Drosophila melanogaster: one gene and its partners. The protein of the gene in region 1 interacts with the protein of each later gene in a pairwise test. Each region holds a gene or a part of one and is shown on either strand. Other genes may lie near its edges.

Evidence for each region. The genes of interacting proteins can lie anywhere in the genome.
Region 2: the proteins of ana1 (region 1) and Lk6 interact in a two-hybrid assay, tested with the Drosophila melanogaster proteins (one study listed by BioGRID).
Region 3: the proteins of ana1 (region 1) and ana3 interact in a two-hybrid assay, tested with the Drosophila melanogaster proteins (one study listed by BioGRID).

The regions. Positions count from the first base shown.
Region 1 is NT_033777.3:24,528,876-24,536,608, forward strand, and holds ana1 (anastral spindle 1), read left to right. Parts: upstream 1-1,700; 5' UTR 1,701-1,910; coding exon 1,911-2,039; intron 2,040-2,116; coding exon 2,117-3,726; intron 3,727-3,803; coding exon 3,804-3,927; intron 3,928-3,983; coding exon 3,984-7,310; 3' UTR 7,311-7,520; downstream 7,521-7,733. Other genes in the region: CG6607 (uncharacterized protein), read left to right, coding at 1-53, 107-628, 688-777; CG13623 (uncharacterized protein), read right to left, coding at 946-1,321, 1,383-1,426.
Region 2 is NT_033777.3:11,761,425-11,766,303, forward strand, and holds the start of Lk6 (Lk6 kinase), read right to left. Parts: upstream 3,034-4,879; 5' UTR 2,223-3,033; coding exon 2,060-2,222; intron 1-2,059.
Region 3 is NT_033778.4:12,343,351-12,351,015, reverse strand, and holds the start of ana3 (anastral spindle 3), read right to left. Parts: upstream 6,034-7,665; 5' UTR 5,931-6,033; coding exon 2,493-5,930; intron 2,434-2,492; coding exon 1-2,433. UniProt on the Drosophila melanogaster protein: Participes in the structural integrity of both centrioles and basal bodies and in centriole cohesion. Participates in the later stages of centriole assembly through the interaction with Rcd4 leading to the centriole to centrosome conversion.

The DNA of each region.
Region 1 (7,733 bases):
TGCAGCACAGGAACAGCGAGCTGGAAACAAAGCTGGTTGATGCGGCCAGCATGGTAATATTGAGATCTCTCTTTAAATATTTACCCAAAGATTCGCGTGCTTTCAGCTTGGCAGCGAGGACGCACTGAGCGCCACCGGCAGCGATACTACTCCTCTACACAATCTCCAGCAGCAGTCGAATAGCAACCAACTCACCTCCGAGGATCGCATTGCGCTGCTCGAGAAGGAGGCGGCGCATTGGAGGGCTCAATTCGAAGTGGCCAAGCTGCATCAAGCATTTGTCTCGAACCCCAGCAAGGATCTCAGCACGTGCAGCTGCAGCACGGCGGCGGCGGGCGTCACCGTTCGACCGGCAGAGTCGGAGGCGAAAGGCAGCCAGCGGGCGCGGGATTCGCTGCAGGATCCCCCCGAACCGCCCACCAAGGAGCAGCTCATCTACAGTGTGTTCAGCAAGAAGTTCGAGGATCTGATGCGACTGAAAGTGCAAGCGGAATCCAAGTTGCGATCCTACGAGCTGGAGGTTCAGCACCTGCAAAACTGCCTGGAGAACGCAACGCACGAACTTAAGGCCAAGGACGATCAGTTGGCCAGTTTGGGTGGAGCCCTGCAAATGCTCGAAGAGGAGTTGGTGAGTTGTGCCTGCAGTTTTGTGCTCTTAGAACCAAGTGACATCTCGGATTTCCTTAGACTACGACGCGTATTAACTACGAGGAGCAAATCAGCGTGCTGACGGAGCAGGTCATCAGCTTGAGTGACCAGCTGGCCGCCTGCAAATGAGCATGGACAGCGGCGCGCATCCCGCCCAGCTGCTTTACTGTATATTGTTGTAAAATAACTAACTGGGAACGCCCGCTCCCCCTCTACCCTGTTTTGTTATTGTCCACCCTCGACGTGTATATAACTGAACATTCTATGTGTATTAAATAATTCTCTAAAGTTTAAAGTTTACAATTTGATTGAGAAGGAGGAGCCGCAGGAGCAGCCCTGTTCCGCCAGCGGATTGGCCACCATCCGGAAACCGGCGCGTATTAGTTCGCTATGGTAGTCCACGGTGGCGCCGCTGCAGTACTCCAGCGAGACTGTATCGATCACCACCTTGGCCTCAGCCTCGCCAAACTGTCGGTCATCCTCGTTCAGCTGCTTATCCAAATCGAATTTGTACTGAAAGCCGGAGCATCCGCCTCCTTCGACGGTCACACGCAGGAAAGATCCATCCACGCAGATCTCACGGAGCCGTTTCAAGCAGCTCTCGCTCACCTGGACACTAAGTTCGGGATTCGCGGATGTGGAAGCGGTTGCATGCCGCATTAGGATTAGATTTCTATGGAAGATCAAGCATTTATTGTGGGATTTGTCACGCAATTTTTCCTAGCTTATTTCACCTTTGCAATCCGCTCCTGGCCACTTGTCGCAGTAGGAACGCCATAATTTTACGATTTCACAGCCAAAAAATGTAATTTCAATATTTCTATTTACTATCTCGTAATCCAAACAATTTCAGCTGATTTCGCACGATAACGATAGGTGTCGATAGTTCGATACATCCCAACTGGGCCATCTAGGCTTGTGTACATGCTGTTGTGATGTTTTCGTTTTCAAACTGAGTTTATTGTCATGTAGCTTTCAAATTGCATTCATTAAATTTTATAATTTAAAAAAAAACACGTAGTTTTTCGATCATTTAATTTCCGAATTTGTATTGTGCCTTGAGTGCGTGCTACTTACCAGCTGGTATATTTTAGACGCATGTAAATTCTAGTACATTCAATTATTCATCTACGGTCACACTGCCGCTTGGGAGGAATTTTTAAAGACGTTGGGTTGTTTGATTTTACGCTCAAACTTGTTTCGATTTCTACTGCGTAAATGCTGCCCCACATACGAATTTATTACATATATCGATAGAGCAGATGGCTCTGCAGCTAACAGTAAATGGAAAGTTCGGGGCCAACCTGAGGAGGACCATAGGACCACTGGACGATCCAGAGCAAGTACGCAAAGATCTCGAAAGTGAGCGTCGCATAACCCGTTTGAAGCAGGTAACTTGTCCCTTGGGTTCCGAGCCCATTGCGCAGTAATTGTAACACAAAGCGTGACCACTTAATTTTATAACCAGGTGCGGGAGAAGTCAAACCACCTGGCACGCCAGATACGCGAGGATGTGGCTGCCGAAAAGAGGCGTCAAATCCACAAATTAGAGCAGGTCAAGCAAAGGGAGCTAAATGCGTGGCGTGAGCATGTTTTGGTCAAAAAGCACCAGGACTACCGTTCGGCCATTTTCCAGGTGGGCGCCGCCCATCGCGCCGCAAAGGAGGAGAACGAACGCATCGAGCAGCAGAGGCAAGAGAGAATCGACAAAATCCGAAGGTGTCGCAAGCAGGCCTTGAAAAGATCGGCTAAAGCCAGCGTTGAGTTGCGGACCACAAACACAATGAATTTAAATGCGGAGGGACGTGCCTCGGCGGGAACACAAACGCCCATAGTGGAGGACAAAGAAAACCGAATGGAGAGCGGGTGTAACAAACCCTGTTGCAAGGGCAAGCGCAAAAGGAAAACCAGCTGTGGATGTGCCAGCACCGATGCAGAGGATGAGAAGGAGGATGACGCATCGTCCGATGACGACTCATCCATCCTGATCATCGAGAGTCCGAGCAGCAACCGGCGTCTCCAAAAAACTACCCCCGTAATCCTAGACGTAGAAATCGAGGAAACCATTTCTGAAACCGACAAGAATCCCGAGGGTATGGATATAAATGATAGGTTCATGCAAACCAACCGGAAATTCAGCCATGTCGTGCGACCCAGTGATGATGAACCCCAACGCCGGCCGAGATTCACTCAGATCAGCGATTTGGTAAGAAAAACCGAGACCACCGTACGAGCTGGGCCAAGTCAACGAAGGGAAGCAGATCCTACTCCACCAGTATCTGCCCCGCCTAGTCCCACCAAATCCCCGCCAAGATCGCCCAGAAAATGTGTAGAGCGTGAGGAGCCCGTTCCTGCTCCAGCACCCAGAAAATCACCCACTAAAACAGCTAAAGGATCGCCGAAGAAAACTGTGACGGCACCACGTAACCAGCCATCAGTCAAAAGAACGGGTTTAAAATTAAATCCAGCTCCTGCCAAGGTGATAGATGCGGGAATACACAGAGGTCAGAAGGCCAAAGCTCCAGCTACGCTGCCCAAAGTAACAGCTATACAGAAACCAGCAGTGGAACCTCCTCGAAACCTTCCACCGATTCCAGAACAGGCTATGCCAGCTGTGCCAAATCCGTCGATGACCCATTGTTATCCCATGCCGCAGAATCAACCATACATGCATCCGTATGCTCAACTTCCGATGCAACCATATGCGATGCCATATTCAATGCCATTTCCCGTGCAAGCCCAGTTTCCACAACCTCATCCGATGTATGCACCGCAGCAAATGATGCCGAATCAGCCAGCTGTACTCGGTCCCGCTATTACTGCTCCACCGAGCACTGCTACGCAATCCACTGTGTCCACCACCACAATTACCATGTCCTCGCGACAGGACCCAAGGACGACTCAATGTGGGCGTGTTCAGTTCTATGATCATAGCAATAAGTACCATAGAACGTACGAAGCACCAACACAGTCGGTGCAGTGCAATGAGAAGGATGCCACCCAATTGACCGCTATGGATCATGCTCGCATCGAGAACCAGCTGAGGGATCTGCGGGAACAGGAACTGGACAAACTGAGGTAGTAGCCAGTAAAAGAAACAGAACACAGAACTTATCTTAATGAATCAAATTGAAATCAATAACGTATTTCAATAGGAAAATTAGTGACGATCGTGGTCAAAAGGCTCTTGAACGCGAGCAAGTGCGTCGGGATTGTGCTGAATTAACGGAAAAGCTAGATGCTCTAACGCAACAGCAACCGCAGCTCTTGCCAACCGATGTAAGGAAATCAAATATTTTTCCTCTTTAAATAATACAAACTCATTTTCCCACCAGGCTAACATTATACCTAGCCATCGGTACGCGGATGCAGCTGCCAGGCGAGAGCAAAAGATGAACGATGCAATGGAAGAAATGCTGCTTCGACCAGCCATTATCACCTGCCCGGAAGTGCGCACCAAACCTACTCCTCCAAACTTATCGCGCAGCAAATCCAAAGCTTCTGTGGCAGTTAATTTGGGCGAACCTCCTGTTCAAATCGGCCGGGATAATCTTGGCAGCTCGGAGAGCTGCAGCTCCATTCTTCTCGACTACGTTAATGATCAAAGCAAGCAACTCAAGTCGGACCTGCAGGCCGAGCAGTCAAACTCACTGAAATCGATGAGGCTAAAGAGTTTGCTTGAGCGCATTGAGAAAATTCGAGTCCAGCTGTTGGAGGAACTGAAGGCGGGTGAGTCAGGTGCATCAAAGGGTGACAATGCACAGGAATTGAATAATATACGTCAGGAGCGAGCTGATATTCTATCCGAGCGAACGAGAACTTTAAACGAACGAGAATCTGATTTGCAACAGAAGGAGGCTATTCTCGAGCAGCGTCTAAGAAAGTTCTACAAGGAGACAAAAAACGCAAAATCCAGTGAGAGTGATAAGCCAAAATCAAACGCAAAAGAAGATGGGCCAGTTGAGATCATTATTAAGGTGAGGAGTGACGGTACTGTTAAGCAATATGTACCGAGAACAAAATCGAAAGCCAAAACCAAGCCGTCGGCTATCGACAATGAAAAGGATGTGCCCCTGGGCTCAACTGACAGCACACCAAGAGACGATGAGCCAAAGCCGACGGAACAGGATCACGGAAAGCGACCATTCTTACAGGATCAGCGTCAGATATCCATTGATTCCAACTCCACTGCCTATCGCAGTCTGCCGCCAGTGAGCTATAAAAATATGACCACGGCCGCTCCCCCTTCTGCTCCATTACATCCCATGGTGGTTCAATATATAAATCGTCTGCTAGGAATGACACGCCAAAATATCGATGAGATGGGTGTGAGTTCCTCGTGTGTGACCACACCATCAACGTCGGTGATCAACTCATTGAGAAACGTAACCCCTTGTCCCGAGCCTGAAGCGGGAAGAGCTGAAAGGGATCAGGATGAAAATACGGAGATGAACGAGCATCGCATGGAGCGGGTGCAAACCTTTATTGCCGACAATCGCAGCTTAATCAATGACTTGGAAGAATCAATACGTTGCCAGCAGCAGCTGCAAAGGGAGCAACAATCGCTGGATGCAGAGAAAAGTATGCGCGCATTCGATCAAATATGGAACAAGCGTTTGGCCAAGAATCCTGAAGATTGTCAGCAAACCAACAAAGAGAAAGAGCAAACAAGAGAAAAGATGCCAAGGGAAAGGCCGACTCCACAAGGAGATAGGAAAAATGCAGCACCTCCACAGGAAAGCGGCAAAATTCGTAGAACTCAAGAAGGGGACCGGCAGCAGCAAACAAACGGTGCAGTGCAACAAAAAAGGGAGCAAAAGACTGTAAAACAAGGTTCAGGCGCCGATAAAAGCACAAACCGCTTTGCCCCCGAAAAATCGAAAGCACTATCCACCAGTGAGGAGTCATCTGCCCGAAACATGGAACGCTATGCACAGCTCACGGAGAACTGCACCCAGCGGATCGCCGAACTTACAGAGCTGATCACGAAAGTGCGCGAGGAGAAGCAGCGACTGGTGGAGGTCACCCTCACATCGAACAGCGATGGCGAGCGGCAGTCCACTGAATATCTTGAGCTTCCAACAGGACAACAGCAAACCAGATGCCGGACAATTTCCGATCGCAGCGATTCTCAAACACCTTCGACCTCGGAAGCCTTGCCGTTGCAGAAGCACAAGCCGACAGCGGCCAGCAGGGATAGTGGCATTGCGGACTCACGTCCAATTACGGCACAGGGTCAGGTTTGTATCGATGTGGAACCCATCTCGCTTGGGTCATCAACGCAGAATAATACAGCACGCGGACGAGTAAGGGCACCTCCGGCCACGATTCGTCGGTATAGTCCTCAACTAAACGCCGAGGATCTGGCGCACGAGCTGTCGACCATTACAGAAGTGGAAACGCCAGGACAATCACATATTGTGGCCGCCACACCGGTGCCCAAGCCATTCCCTAGTTTCGATCAGTATGCCAAGGAACTGCACTTAGATCTGTCGCGGTTGGATGCTGATCAGAGCCAACGGCTGCAGGGCGAATTTAATGACTTAATACTCGCGATCAGGCAACGCAATCAAGGAACTGACTACCGTGAGTTTCCTAGCATTAATGCCTATCTTCATAACATGACTAGCACCCGAATCCATGTGGAGATAGGTCAGGATGCAGATCAGGCCACTCTGTCACCGGGTGAACTGATGCGACAGCTGCGCGTGATCACTCATAGTATCCAAGACTTTCCCAAGCGCAGGGAATACTTTGAAAAACTTATGGCCAAGCAACCACCCGATCAGAGGGATCTAATAGACAGTGCTAGCTTAGAGAATGATTCCACGGATTCATTTAACGTAGAGGAAGAACTCCGCCAGCGGAAAATTCTAAAGAACTCATTTCGTCGAGGAAACGCAACTGAGACCACATTGACGGCTCAGGAGGTGGCTAGCAGTACGCGGCGGGAAAGCGTCGCCCCAGTGACCAACGATCAACCCAACGAGAGTGGCATAGATCCCCTCTCCGGCAGCAACTTTTCCAGCGACGCGGATCAGAGAAGTCCGTGCTGGCATGCCACAATGCATGAGAGGCAACAGCAGGTGGATGAGTTGTGCAGCAGTACCACAGCCTCGTCGCCAGAACGGCGGCCACGAAAGTCTCGGCTTCGTGGAGGCCACGAGCACAACAATAGGTCTAAGGACGATTCCACTGTGCAGGATGCAAGCCAGATAGGAAGATCCCTTAATCTGAGGGAATTCCTTACGAGAGAGCTCCTCAAACATCGAGTGCACGACGACGTTGCCAGTGAGAGTTCAGATGAGTCCTTAAGGGGGCACTTTCTGAAGTCGGTCCTACATTCGCTCTCGCCCAGCAACAACACGCAAACGCCAGGAGTGGGTGTAAGCCATGCCACCGGAGCAACAAACGACAGACAAAAGACATCCACACCAGTGGGATCGTTCCTCTCCATTCCAGAGAAGGCCGGGTCCATGAGTAACACCGGCTCTCAACTGTTCTCCGGGGAGAGTCGCATCTCCCTGGTTAACTATCCAGATGGAACTCCACCCATTCCTTTTGAACAACAAAGCAAACTTAGTACAAATCAAACTCGCCAATCCTCAGGTCAAATAGGATCAGGTGTCAGGACAACGCATCGAAAGTCGCCCCGAAAATGATCGCCGAACTTTTAATTCGTTTGTTTAGGTTTTAGATTATATTATCCATTTTATGACAATTATTTATATTTTACTTACTTTGCAATTTTGTGTCAAAAAATGACTATCGAAAAAGATTGTATAAAATTTACTCAATAAGTTAAATGTACAATTTTATTACCAATTTGTGTGAAACTTATTTATATTTTAATAAACCCGACGATTATTTATTAAATTTCTATCTAGAGTTTCAAGTACAATATTTCGGTTGTATGAATATAGACTTGCAGTAATGTACACAATTTATAAACAATATATATATTTGATGGTCTAACTAGTGAGTAGATTAACCCACTGATCCTTTGAGGACCTCGGTGTTTCAGTTCTGGTCCGGTACCAGAATGTAAGTAGCTTTTGTCATGTTGTAAGTAAACATCCGATTCA
Region 2 (4,879 bases), about 13 Mb from region 1:
AATAAATTTCTCTCTCAGGGCTTTTGCGCAAACGAGCAAGGGAGACAGAGATATATTGGGCTGATTTCATGAATCGGAGGAGGCTGCACGTAGGCACCACTAGATGTCCTCCTATCGATAGGCCTCGATAGAATGAAAAACTTCTCGATAATTATGGAAAATTATTATGGATCGTTGGGGGGAAAACAAGTTTCCAGCTGGTGGGCTCCAATTGACAGCGTTTTGCACTCAGTTGATTGCAGCTGCAAAATCCACTCCAGCACAACTCCTAATGGGCGCACACATTTTATATGTGTGGGAGGCCAAGCAACGAACGTCACACCAAGTGCAATAAACGTCATGAAGGTTATAATCGTAGTTTGTTCACATTTCGCCGCGTTCGCTGCATTTTGGGCACGAATACGCATTTGAACACGAGTGTCAGTGCATTACGCTCAATCGATCAGCCATCATGAGTCATTTTCCATTTCCATAACTGCCTGCACACGCTCAATTTCAATTTCTCGGTCTCGGCTAGCTGGCACAGATACTAGTGCCGTCTCTCTCACTTCGCCGGCAGCTTTGGTGGTGTTGGTGGAATGGCAGGGAAAAGGAATACCCTTTTGTGCTTGGAATCTAGTATTGCTTAAATTGATAATCATATTATGCGAATTTATACCAGTCAACTGGTCTAATTACAAAGGGTAACTATTGGTGCTGAAATCTACATATGTATGTGTGAATATATTCCTATTGTACAGCAGTTTACCCATATGGATTTCATGATTTTTCAAAGCAGCTCACTTATGCCCGATTTTATAGGATATTAGTGGAATTAGTGGATGTCAGTGGTCCAACCCAACCGTATCTAGCATATTTACACAACAATCTGTCCTGTTTCATAAGATTATCTTTGATAAACACAAAGTATGGACTATAATCACTATCTAAACGAAAACAACAAACTTCTAGTTTAACCTCCAGTTAGAATATGACTAATTAGTGGATTTAGTTGATCTTTGTCATTGTTATTTTATAGCATATATCAAATCCCACATATAATTAAGAACTTGTGTACAATAATAACACCCCCAGTGATGGTTATAAAGTCCAGATGCTGGAATACCCCTAAAATTAGGGCACATACACACTTATATTCAGCTTAATGGCCCCAGTCGAATGATGCAATGGGGTTCTCTTGGCGAAACAAAACAACTGTAAACACCACACAGACTGTGCGGGGTGGGTGAAGGGAAGCGGAGTGGGTGGTGGGGTTGGGCGCCGGCAGGCAGACAGCATGCATGTTCTCGAACATCGTGTGACGTCAAGGAAATACACTGCGGCACCCGGTGCGCAACGTGGCCCAGTCAGTCAATGCTCCCTAGTTCGTTCGATTGATTAGCAAGGGTAAACGAAACGAAAGTGCTGCCTGGCCCAGCTTTGCCGATAACTGACTAGAAATCCACTGAATGAAAGCGTAGGAGCAATGGTCGGGTCTTTTCTCTGATTGGTAGTCAGTCCCCACCCAATGACAAGCAGAATAATACATACATATGGTTAGGAACTTTAGAGGAAGTATAACTTCCGATACAAAATATTACATTAACGTATATCTTTTTTTTACCATTGCATTTTAGCAGAAATATCCTACAAATCGTATTTTATAGGTACAACTTTAAGAAGCAAAGAACGTTTGTCACATTCTCAAAATAATAATTATATGCTTAAATAAGGCTTTTGTTTTCTTTTGGCATGCAAATAACTGTTGCCTACGAAATATACTTTATATTTAGGCAATACAACAATATTACGACAGAGATACAGGTGAATTTCCAATAGGTAGAAGTTCAAATTTATACGAAAGAGCTGCCAAATTCACAGTCAGAGCAAATATTTGCAATTATTTCATCATTCTGTTAACATGTTGTCTAGTTAAAATTAAACTGGTGACACACGAAGCGCAAATATGCGAAATCTCTTCAGAAGGTTTCCAAAATATATCTCATGCATCACAGTTTGCTTCTCAGCTATGGGAATTTAGTGTCAAACTCCCAGAGTTCTAGAAACTCAAATTGCTCACCTGACTGACTCTGGCTGCAGCTGTTGTCCGTGTTGCTGCAGGAAATGCCGCTGCCACTCCGGATGCCGCTGTCCCCAGATCCACGGGGGTGGTTGTTGTTATTGTTGTTGCTTGCTTTCGCAGCAGCGGCAGAAGCAGCTGTCCCGGACTTGGGCTCCACCATGTTGTTGCTGTTGTTGTTACTGTACGGTGCTCCTGGACGCGATTAGAGTGAGACAGGCAGAGTGCTTACAAGCTGGAAAAAGGGTTTACGGTGCAACAAATGAGCAGCAGTTTTTCTCAGTCTCTCGTGCTCTTTCCTCTCTTCTCGTTCAGTTCATTCAAAATCAAAATGGTGGCCGCCTATGGGATTTTTGTGTTTTTAATACAATGCGGCGGTTGATGAAAAAACTGATTCAATTCTGCTGCAGATGCTCCTCTCTCTCTCTCTCTCTATCTATCGCTCTCCGCTGTTTATTTATTCTTGGTTTGGTGGTTGAGTCGTCGTTGGTGTGGCTGCTGTTGTTGTTGTAATCGATGGCTGCTGCTGATTTCTCTCATCACACAGGCGAAAAAAGCTCAAGCAAAAAATGGGGTTTATCTATTTGCACCGCTTTTTTCGGTTATCTGCGATATTTTTTGTTTTTTTCTTCGGGTATTGCGATTTTTGCGTTTCACCTCTTCTTTGTGGGCTTGGTGCAGTAGTGCTGTTGCTGTGGTTGTTGCTCTTGTAGTTGTTGGTGAGATGGTTGTTGTAGTGATGGAGGCGTTAATTTAGTTCTATTTTATTTTCCGGAGCTGCTGGAGATGGCTGGTGTGGCGGTGGAGTTGGTCGTTAAAATTTCCTCTGCTGATTACAACACAAAAAAAATCGCTGAATAGCGGACAAAAGCCGTTTTCTTTGCGTATTTCGCTTTAAGTTTCCTTCCCAGCTACCGATCCATTTTCAAAGTTCGAATGATTCCGACGAATGACGACGAATTCATCCGTGTGGCCGGAGGTACCATTTTGGTAGGACCGTTTTTCGGGCCAACGAAAATACCACAAGACGGCAGCGACACTAGGGTTTTTTGCTTCAAATGTAGTATGGCTACGCAACTCACATATGGTTGAGAACTTCGCTGTTTATTTGGTGGTTAAACTAGCTAAATACAATAAGAGTGGCAACGCCGTCACGTTTTCTACATGTATTTTACTTGGCGTAGTGCGCCAAGCTTATAAACCACAGTTGGGCGGTTCTTTTGAATTGTTTAATTTACACCCCACTATGAAACTTATTAGCCTTCTTTATTTATTTTATATTTTATTTTTGGGAAGAATACGTTTACTCAAGGTTCGCAGCTTGTCAATCAGTATTCGCAAATATCAATAATAAAAGGCATCAATTTTCCAATCAGCAGTTGAAAAGAACTCCCCTCGACATTTGAACAAAATGCATTTTTGGGTGATTATAATTTATTAGAATTTTTATTGACTTAAGGTAAATATAAATAAAATATTATTCAAGTACAAAGTTATATATACTCATTAATATTATTTGATTCAAGTAAATATATTTCAAAGTGGCGGTGTTTTATTATATCATTTTTCAATTAAGTACAATTTACTGTTCCTGCTCTATTTCTATGGGTTCGCAGAGAGTCCAAAAGTACTCTTAACACTCGGTCCTGTAAGGTGTGTATAATTTTCGGGCAGGCCATTTTCGGATTTGGCCCGACCGGAAAATATTGCGAGCCATTGACGACGCACCTGCAAGTTTTAAACCTGGCTTATTGACTCGTGATTTCCTCGTCTTTGAGACCCGGGGATCGAGTACTTGTGGGTACTTTGCGAACCCGGACTTCAAACCTTGCCCATGCAACAATTGTATCTTTGTGTAGTTTACGTTTAATCAATGAATTTGGATCACAAACAGTAAATACGTCTTTAACGATAATTGCAGTTGAATTAAACATATTAAGATAAGGGTAGTGGGGTGGGGGTACCTTTGTTTTAATTATAAAAATATTATATCTGCATTTTACATGTTTTTGTTTCGCTACTATCGTTTTTGCTCGAAATTACATAAGTCCAGCCTTAAAACAAGTAATTTTCGTCACCAATCGCATTCGCGCACGCTCCATTATCCATAACACTCGGTTTCGTCATCAATTCAATTCAATTCAATTTTGCATTTAAACGCTACGTTGCCTTAACTTCAGTCCTTTCGCAGAAAATCTAACCCTTAAATGTATTTAGCTCTTCGCCCGTCGATCCTTTTTCTTCCCTCCTTCCTTCCTTCACATCCCCCGCATGCTGCAGACACTAAACATAAATTCAATACGTACAGTTTCAAATTGGATGCGCGGCATCGTATCGTCGTTTAATGTAAAAGGTGTAATGCTACGCGCCCTTTTCGTCTGATCCTTGCCCTAAATGCCATCCTAGGGTATTAATCCATCCACCTCTAACTACAATTTAACTTCTCTTTGGCCGCAAACCCCCCGCATTACTTATTTAGCTCCTGTAAATATGAACTGCTTATGTTTCGCTTACGCTCCTTCGATCATTTTTGTGTTTGCTTTTGTTTTTGTGTTTATAATTTATTTAAATGCACTAAAAGTTGCACGGACCGTTTGCCAGCAGCCTGTGAAGTCGATCGTCGTCGGTTCGGCTGTGTTGCGATCTAGATCTATCCTGTAATTGTCGATTTTATACCTTCGATAAGCCAATGAAGTGTGAGAAAATATGTATCTATTTCGTCATTTGTTTGTTCGTTCGTTATGCATTTTAGTTGGTTGATGATGGTTCGTTTTGCGTTTATAAAATGCCAAAATTTGTGCAAATTTCTAAAACATTTTT
Region 3 (7,665 bases), on another chromosome or scaffold:
GCCTGCGTACTTATTCTCTTCCTCCGAGAAGACCACCGACATCTCCACCCGAAGGCCAATCAGCAGTTTAAAGAGCTTGGTGCCCCGCAGCATGCCCTTATATTTGGCACCGAAACCGAAGAGTTTCCACAACATGAGGACAGCCAGGCGGTGCTCCTCGAAGGAGTTCAGCCCGTTTTTCTCGGATGTGGGTGCTTTTTGGACCCTCTGCTCCAAAATATCACGCAGCAGGTTAATAAAGTCAGCCAGCTCCACGAGCCGGGGGCGATTACCATTGAAGAAGCACATGTTGCGGAGTATTCGAAGGCACAGGATCCGCTTGTGACTCAATGGAGGACTACGCCGAATCGTGTTTATAAGAGATTGAAGATGGCAAGCCTTTCCTCCTACGTCGTACCGGGAAAATACCTCCCAGAATCCGAGCCATGCAATCAGTACAGGTGGTCGCACTTTAAGATGTGTTGAGCACGGATTAGCAGGAAGGATTGTGTCAAACATATCCAGCAAATTCATTTTGGACAAACTCAGCCGACCCTCGGTGCAGCAACAGCAGTTTACCATAACCCTTAGTGCGGGCACCATATTCAGAGATGGCTCTTTGTTTGGAATCTCCTTCTTGGTGGTCTCGAAGTCAGCGACGCGAGCCATTAGGTGTAGCAGGGATTGGGCATGTCCCGACTGAAGCAGGGATATCTGTTTACACATTTCGAATGAATGCTCCGTAAGGAACATAATCAGCTGGACAGTAACCTTTTTTAAGTGATACGAGTGCGATAACCAAGGCCAAATGCGGATGAGGATTTTGGCGATATTCGCAGCCATACTGGTCTGGATGATCTCAGAATTGGGAGAACTATGCCATTGGGATAGCATGTTAATCAGTACCAAGAGATTGCTTATGATACTTTGCGCCTTGTGAGGTCCCACTCGCTTCACATAGACGGCGGCGTTTCCGATTTTTTCGTCATTGAGAAAATCGTCCAGAATGTGAACTACCTTGCCAAGCAGCTTCGATTCTCCGGCTGCTTTCACGGCCCAGGTTGATGCCTTAAGCAGTTCGCCGAGTGCTTCACAAACCTGCACCTGGCCCACTGCAGGAAGTTCCAAAAAGTTTAAGGCCTTCGATAGATAGTAACGGTCAAAGAGCTGATCCAAGCGATGGAAAATTATAATAGCCGCATTAGTGGCCTGGATCGCATGGTTTGGCCTTTGCTTATTGTCATCCGAATTATCCGAGGATTCATCGTAGATGCATTGCGATACAGATTGCTTCTTTTTTGACTCGAATTCTTGTTTGCCATCTTTAGCAATATCAGGATCACTGAATGCTAATTCGAACTTCTCCAACTCACTTAGCATGCTTATATCATACGCAGCAAGTTGAGCTTTGGTGAACACAAGTGATAATGCTGACAGAGTAAAGCGCTGAAATGGCGAATTAATAAGCTTCACATGCAATCCAAACAGGAAGAAATCCATGAATAGAGATGGCTTATTCTTTATCTGTTCGATGAGAAATGAGTTCGAATTCGAGTCCGTGCAGAATATGAGAAACATCTTTAATAGGGGAATCACCATGTACTCGGGACATTCCAAACTCAAAACATCGTTGATCAGCGTTAAATAATTCTGCAAGAATACAGAATCTCGACAAATCGTCATCTTAAGGAACTCAAAGTTATTAGTGTAGCACATCGAGTACAATTCACAAATTTGGGATGCACACAGTTCCACAAGCGGAATCGAACAGGACGCCTGCGACTTGAGTTTTTTCATCACATCGCTGAGACCACTCATCAAACTGTGGCCGCAGAGCGCGGCACACCACTCTGGCTTCATGGCCACCATTTTGGTGCATATGGCAACATAGCAGCTAATTACTTCACACGAATGCCGCTCACCAACTATCTTCTTGAACATCCAGGGAGTGTCGTGAATTGCTTTCAGCGAATTGTAGGCGGTCTTTAGTAAGTCATGTTTCCGCAACAATTCCAAGCTACTTTCGGCACCAATGAGCGGCATCAGAAGGATAAATACTCGTCCGGCCAACTCCCTGATCAGCATCATTTCGTGGGCATCCGTCAGAGTGGTTAAACAGCAAGCCGGCAGTCCGCCGGGTAGAAAATCCAGGCGAGGCAGAATTTCTGCTACCTGCGAGCCACAGATGGTTATCCAATTGGCCAACGATACCCAGGACAATGCACGCACTTCACTGTCACCGTGCCCGCAAAGTGTTAAGAAATAGCGCAAGACCTTATATGAAGCTCCGACATCGTTTGGGATACTGGCCTTGCTGGACGCCTTTGGCTCCTGATATATTAGATGGATCTGGAGCTGACAGATTATGTACAAGCAGTCCCGCTGCCACTCGGATCCGGTTTGAGTTGAGGTACGTAAATTGCTGGACAATTGGATAAAATGCTGAGAGTAGCTCTGCGGACAAAAATTCAAGGTAAGAAATCAATATCTAATGACGATGATCCTTTACTCACCATCAACTGAGCATTACTAAATTTCAGATTTCGCTCGCTTACAAAGCGCAGCATGCAAAGTATGCAGCGAACGTGCTGCAGCTGGCGCAATTCAAAGTGCGTCTTGGCCACGGCACTCAATTGCATAAAGAACTTGCCATACCAGTTCATCGAATCATCACTGAGCTCGTTGGACAAAAGCTGCATCATGCACTGGCAAATCAGGAATAGCTTATCCAGAGAAATTTGGCTATCGTGCAGGAGTAATTGGAAGCTGTGATGATGATCCGTTTCCAGAGCGTAGCTCAGTCCGTTGATAGCATGTGGCTGGCTGAAGCGAATGCATGTTACGCACAGATCCAGCATGGACTTGTACACCTTGTCATCCGCTTCGTTCCCCGGCGCTAAGCGGATGTACTTATGGATTAATTTCCACAAGTTCTCAGCCACCGTATCACTTAATGAGTTTCGCAGAACCACGAGAAATAGCTGAATGGCCGACACAGTTTTTTGCAGATCCTCGTGTTTGCTGCAATTCTCCGCTGCGATAAACTGACAACTTAGCTGCTCATTTAAGTCGGAGGATCTTACTAACGCCAAATCGGCCATTTTGATCTTAAGAGACTCCCTTATATCCAAAGCGCTCACAGACTCCAAAGTAATGCTGGATGGAACCTGGCAAACGCGATAGGCCATATACAGTCGCCAATGCTGTGCAGCTTTTGCCCTATCTCGCCCGAAATGGGTCGCCTCCACATTTTGTTGCAGCTCCAATCCTTCCGTAACGGCAGTGGGTATAACTTTATGTTCAATTTCATAGGTTACAGGCAAAATCAGGGGTTCCATATTCGCATTCAGTACCAGTTTGTCTTCAGTGGAGGTGATACAATTCTGGAACAGCATTTGGAACAGGCATATACTGACATCCTGGCGCAACTGTTCCAAGTGGGGGAACAAGAATAAAGCCCTCAGCAGTAAAGTGTACACCCCGAATGTGTTCGCGACTTCTAATCGAAACTCATCGTCATTGAACAGAAGCTTCATCAGGATACTCACAGTGGGCAGCAGAATATCAGTGTCGTTCCCCTTTTTCAGAGCGTTGTGCAGAGACTCCATAATCAGTCGATATCCATCCTCCTTTGTGGAGAATTCCTCACAAGCTCTCCAGTTTCGTAGCAAGACATTTAATTGAGTCATTGTTGACTTTCGGATATTCGACTTTATGTCCTTGGCCTGGAGTAATCGGAACAGGGCGTCCAAGCTGCGCTGACCTTGAAACCGCTCATCAGAGCATTTGATGAAAATGCTTCTATAACAGAATGGTGGTTGAATTATGCAGAGATCGTTGGCGATGTGCTCAACCGGTACGTTGCTTGCGGTGGGCAAATATCTATTCGTTTGCTCCTGACATTGCAGCACGTAAGCAATTGTAGTGGTGGCCTCGCTCCTAACCTCGCCATCCGGATGGAACATGAAGTAAACGTACCCGCGCAGCATCAATTGCGGATCCAAACGGCTGGAGTCCGGCTCTAAAACGTTCCATATGACGTTGTGCAATATCTTGTGTGTAACCGACCTGCTGATCAGCAGAGGCAGCACGGGGAGTAGCAACGGGAAAACAACGCTGAAATCCTGCGGAGCTAGAATAGCGTTTAGCTTCATAATCATTATAGGATAGTCGAGGCACCACTGCTGCATACGTTCCGAAGTATTTGCTTCCGAACTCTGAATTATCATTCTGCGTAACAGCAGGGGAGTTAGCGGCACGCCTAAGATATGCTGACGAATCAGATCCACATTGCTGCAGCCGGTCATATAGACTGTCTTGTTCATAAAGGAATGAAAGTGGGCCACGGTGGATTTGATCATTAAACGATATATAAGTGAACGAAGTTTGAGAGCAGGCAAATCAACAAGGGTGTAAAGCAGCTCATCCGCATCCTTTCTTAGCTTTAAATTGCCCGCGTAGAATGGAATGCATTTTACAACAGCTCCGAAGAGCTGCTTTACCAATGTCTCACTGCCCAGTTGGACGAGCACAAGGCACACTTGTCTGTACTTCTGGATTAGCAGCGACCCAGTCAGTTCCGTATTCGGATGTAATTGATTTAGGGCCACGCTGTAGGCCCGCTTCAGCTTGATCAACTCCTCGTCCGGTGATGGTCCAGAATCCAAAGACGATATTAGAGTGTTTAGCGACTTCATGCGCTCGGGCATGCCAGACAGGTAAGCGCTGTCCAAAACTATAGGTTGGATGAGTGCTTTGGCTTGGCGTCGGTCCATGCGTTTGTCATAGTTTATATTTAAGGCCACCATATCGTGCAGCACGCCGTTAAGGATCAGCGATTGCAGGCGGGGAATCCTGAGCGAGTCCATCAGCTGGGTCATGCAACTGCCTTCTACACTGTTACAATACGCCAGCAGACTTTTGACCGCGTCCGCGATGAGCGTAATGCTCACTAAGGGAATTTTTGAGCTGAGAACATCGTGGGTCCGCACTATTTCCACGATCAGCTCCATTATGTGCCAGTTGTCGTTTGTGCAGCTGAACAGCAACGGACGAATCAGCTTCATGCAATTTTCCAGCAGAATTACCAAGGCGCTCACCACCTTCACTTGCTTGGGGCGTGACGGAGGATCGAACCTGTCCGCGTAGCTCAGAGTGTTTCGGCGCAACAAGATGCGCTGCTGCAGCAGCCGCAGGCAGGCAATTAGTGCCCGGTTCACATGTATCAGGCTACCGTCAGTCATCGTTTGCAACTGAACCAGATGCAAGAATACGAACGGTGGCTGCAGAAAGTACTCAGTTGGGTAGTCGCCCATACGGATGATCAGTTCGGTGAGCTGCAACTGCAACTCAACGCTATTTCGTGGCAAATCAATCATGCTCTTCATGGTGGCCACATCGTCCAAGCACGGATGCGACCAGGAGGGCTCGTAATCTTCCGGTTTCAGATTGTCGTAAATCTGATTCGAACTGCTGTCTGCGGATTCAGTTGCCTGACTGGGAATGTCATTTGAACTAAGGCTGGAGACGCTCGGCGTCACCCGGTCTATGTTGTACTTCTCGAGAAGCAGCAAATTCATATCATCCAGCAATTCGCTGACCCGCTTGGACTCCTGCTTGTGTAGCACACGGCGAACCTTCTGCAGCTCGGCCTTGAAGCGTTCGTAAGGAATCTTGCGAATCACCGCCTCGGCGTACTCGGATCGAAGGAGTTCCATAATCATGGCCAGCACACGGTCGGGCACCAGCGGCGGTGTGTACCCGAACCAGCGGATGAGCTGCTTCAGCAGCAGGACCGGCTTGAACTGTATCGGCTCGCCCAGTTGCAGGCACCTGATGAATCTCGTCTCAATCTGGTCGAGCGCGCGCATACGGATCTCTTCCGATTCGCTAGTCAGCTTGGTTAGCTGCCCCTCCGCCAGCTGGAGGGCCGGGCTCTGTTTGGTACTCATTTCCTTAGACTAATAATACCCGACTTTTAGTTCGTTTTCACTTCTCTTCCAGGCAGCAAACGTTTTAGGATGTCATTTTTGAAAGCGTCAAACTCGAATTTTGGCTGGCGTTGCCACTCTGCTTGAGTGTGCGTTCCCTGCATAAGGGTCTAAAAATACTAAACCTATTAAAATAGTATTTCTCCACCTGACACCTCGCATCAGCAACAACGAACAATATTCCGCATCAATCTTTTATTGCTCCCTAAGAATTAGGTGCTTTTCACACATAATAAACAATTACTTGAACCTAATCCCTTTTTTGTTGAAGAACTTTTATTCATCTAATTGTTTTATTTTTATATTATTTATATGGTTTTACTTAATAATCTTATAAATTATGCCTCTGATATTTGCCTTATTTCACCAAAACTAAACTACGCGTATTAAATTGCCATATTTGTCTATCGATAATTTGGTCGCAACCGAGTTTGTTATTTCCCAGCATGGCAAGCACGGTCACGCTAGCGCTGTAGGTTTAAAAAAAAGTCGCCCATCTGATTGGACTTGAGTTTGTGCTTAGCGGGTAAATAATAGAGTTTGTTTGCCGCTGCGGTGGAGAACTAGACTTTTCTCTCTGTGTGTGTGTGTGTATAAATGCTTATCTTGGGTTTCATATCGTTTTGTTTACGTGCCGCTCTAAAGTGTAGCTGTGCGATTGTGAATACAGCCAAACGCTTTGTAACCGCTAATCATTGTTCGCCAACCGGTTATTTGCAATTTAAACTTCAACAAAGTGCTATTTCTGATCATTCTTATCCTTGTGACCCATTCATTGTTCCATTTTGAACAATAAAAAGGCTCCCTCGTGACGTCATCGGTTGGATTGTGTTGTTTTAAGTTTATGTTTTTGTTTGCTTTATTTTTGAGGCAAACAAACTTTACTCACACATACATGTGCACAGTGTACGCACATAGTGCCAAATGACACTTGATGAATTCGTAGTGCAAACAAAGCATATGCTGGAAATGAAAATGGAAATAGCGAAATGATGTCACTGGCGCACGCCCGGGTAACTCCCTCGCCCCGATGCCGCCCCTACCACACCCCAGAAACCATTTCGCCGGTCGCAACCTTCGCTTTTCCACCTTTTGCGTACATATATGTACATATGTATATCTCACCATCCAGTTGGAAATCAATGGCCCGTCTACTCTTTTCTAATTAGAAATGGCATGCAACTGCGATTGACATTCCGATTGGATGTCGCTCGAGTAATTTACAATTGAATATTTTGGACACTGAGCCAAAAAGGGGAGCTAAGCAACAAGTTCATTATTATTTATGGCTAATCTTATCGGATTGGCCACTTAAGTGCCCGATTATTGGACCATTATCGTCCCGCATCTCCACCCATTGAACTTCGACCGACTGAAGCAAAAAAGATTTATATTGCACCAGGAAAATGTTTGCCATTTGATTTGTGTCACTGCAACCCATTAGTATCAAACTTTGAATGGCTTATAAAAGATATTCCATTAAATATTATGAGTGAGTTCTAGGAACCGGCCTCATGAGACTTTGAGCTATTAAAGTGTGAATTTCTATTTGTAACTTTAAAATACGAAAAACCCGGCTCTACTGAACATTTCTGGCTTACAAACCAATTTAAAATAATTGCCATTCATTATACAGAGTGCTTTGAACTTCATATAGCATGCTCTTGGCAATTTTACCCATTTTATTCGTTTGTTA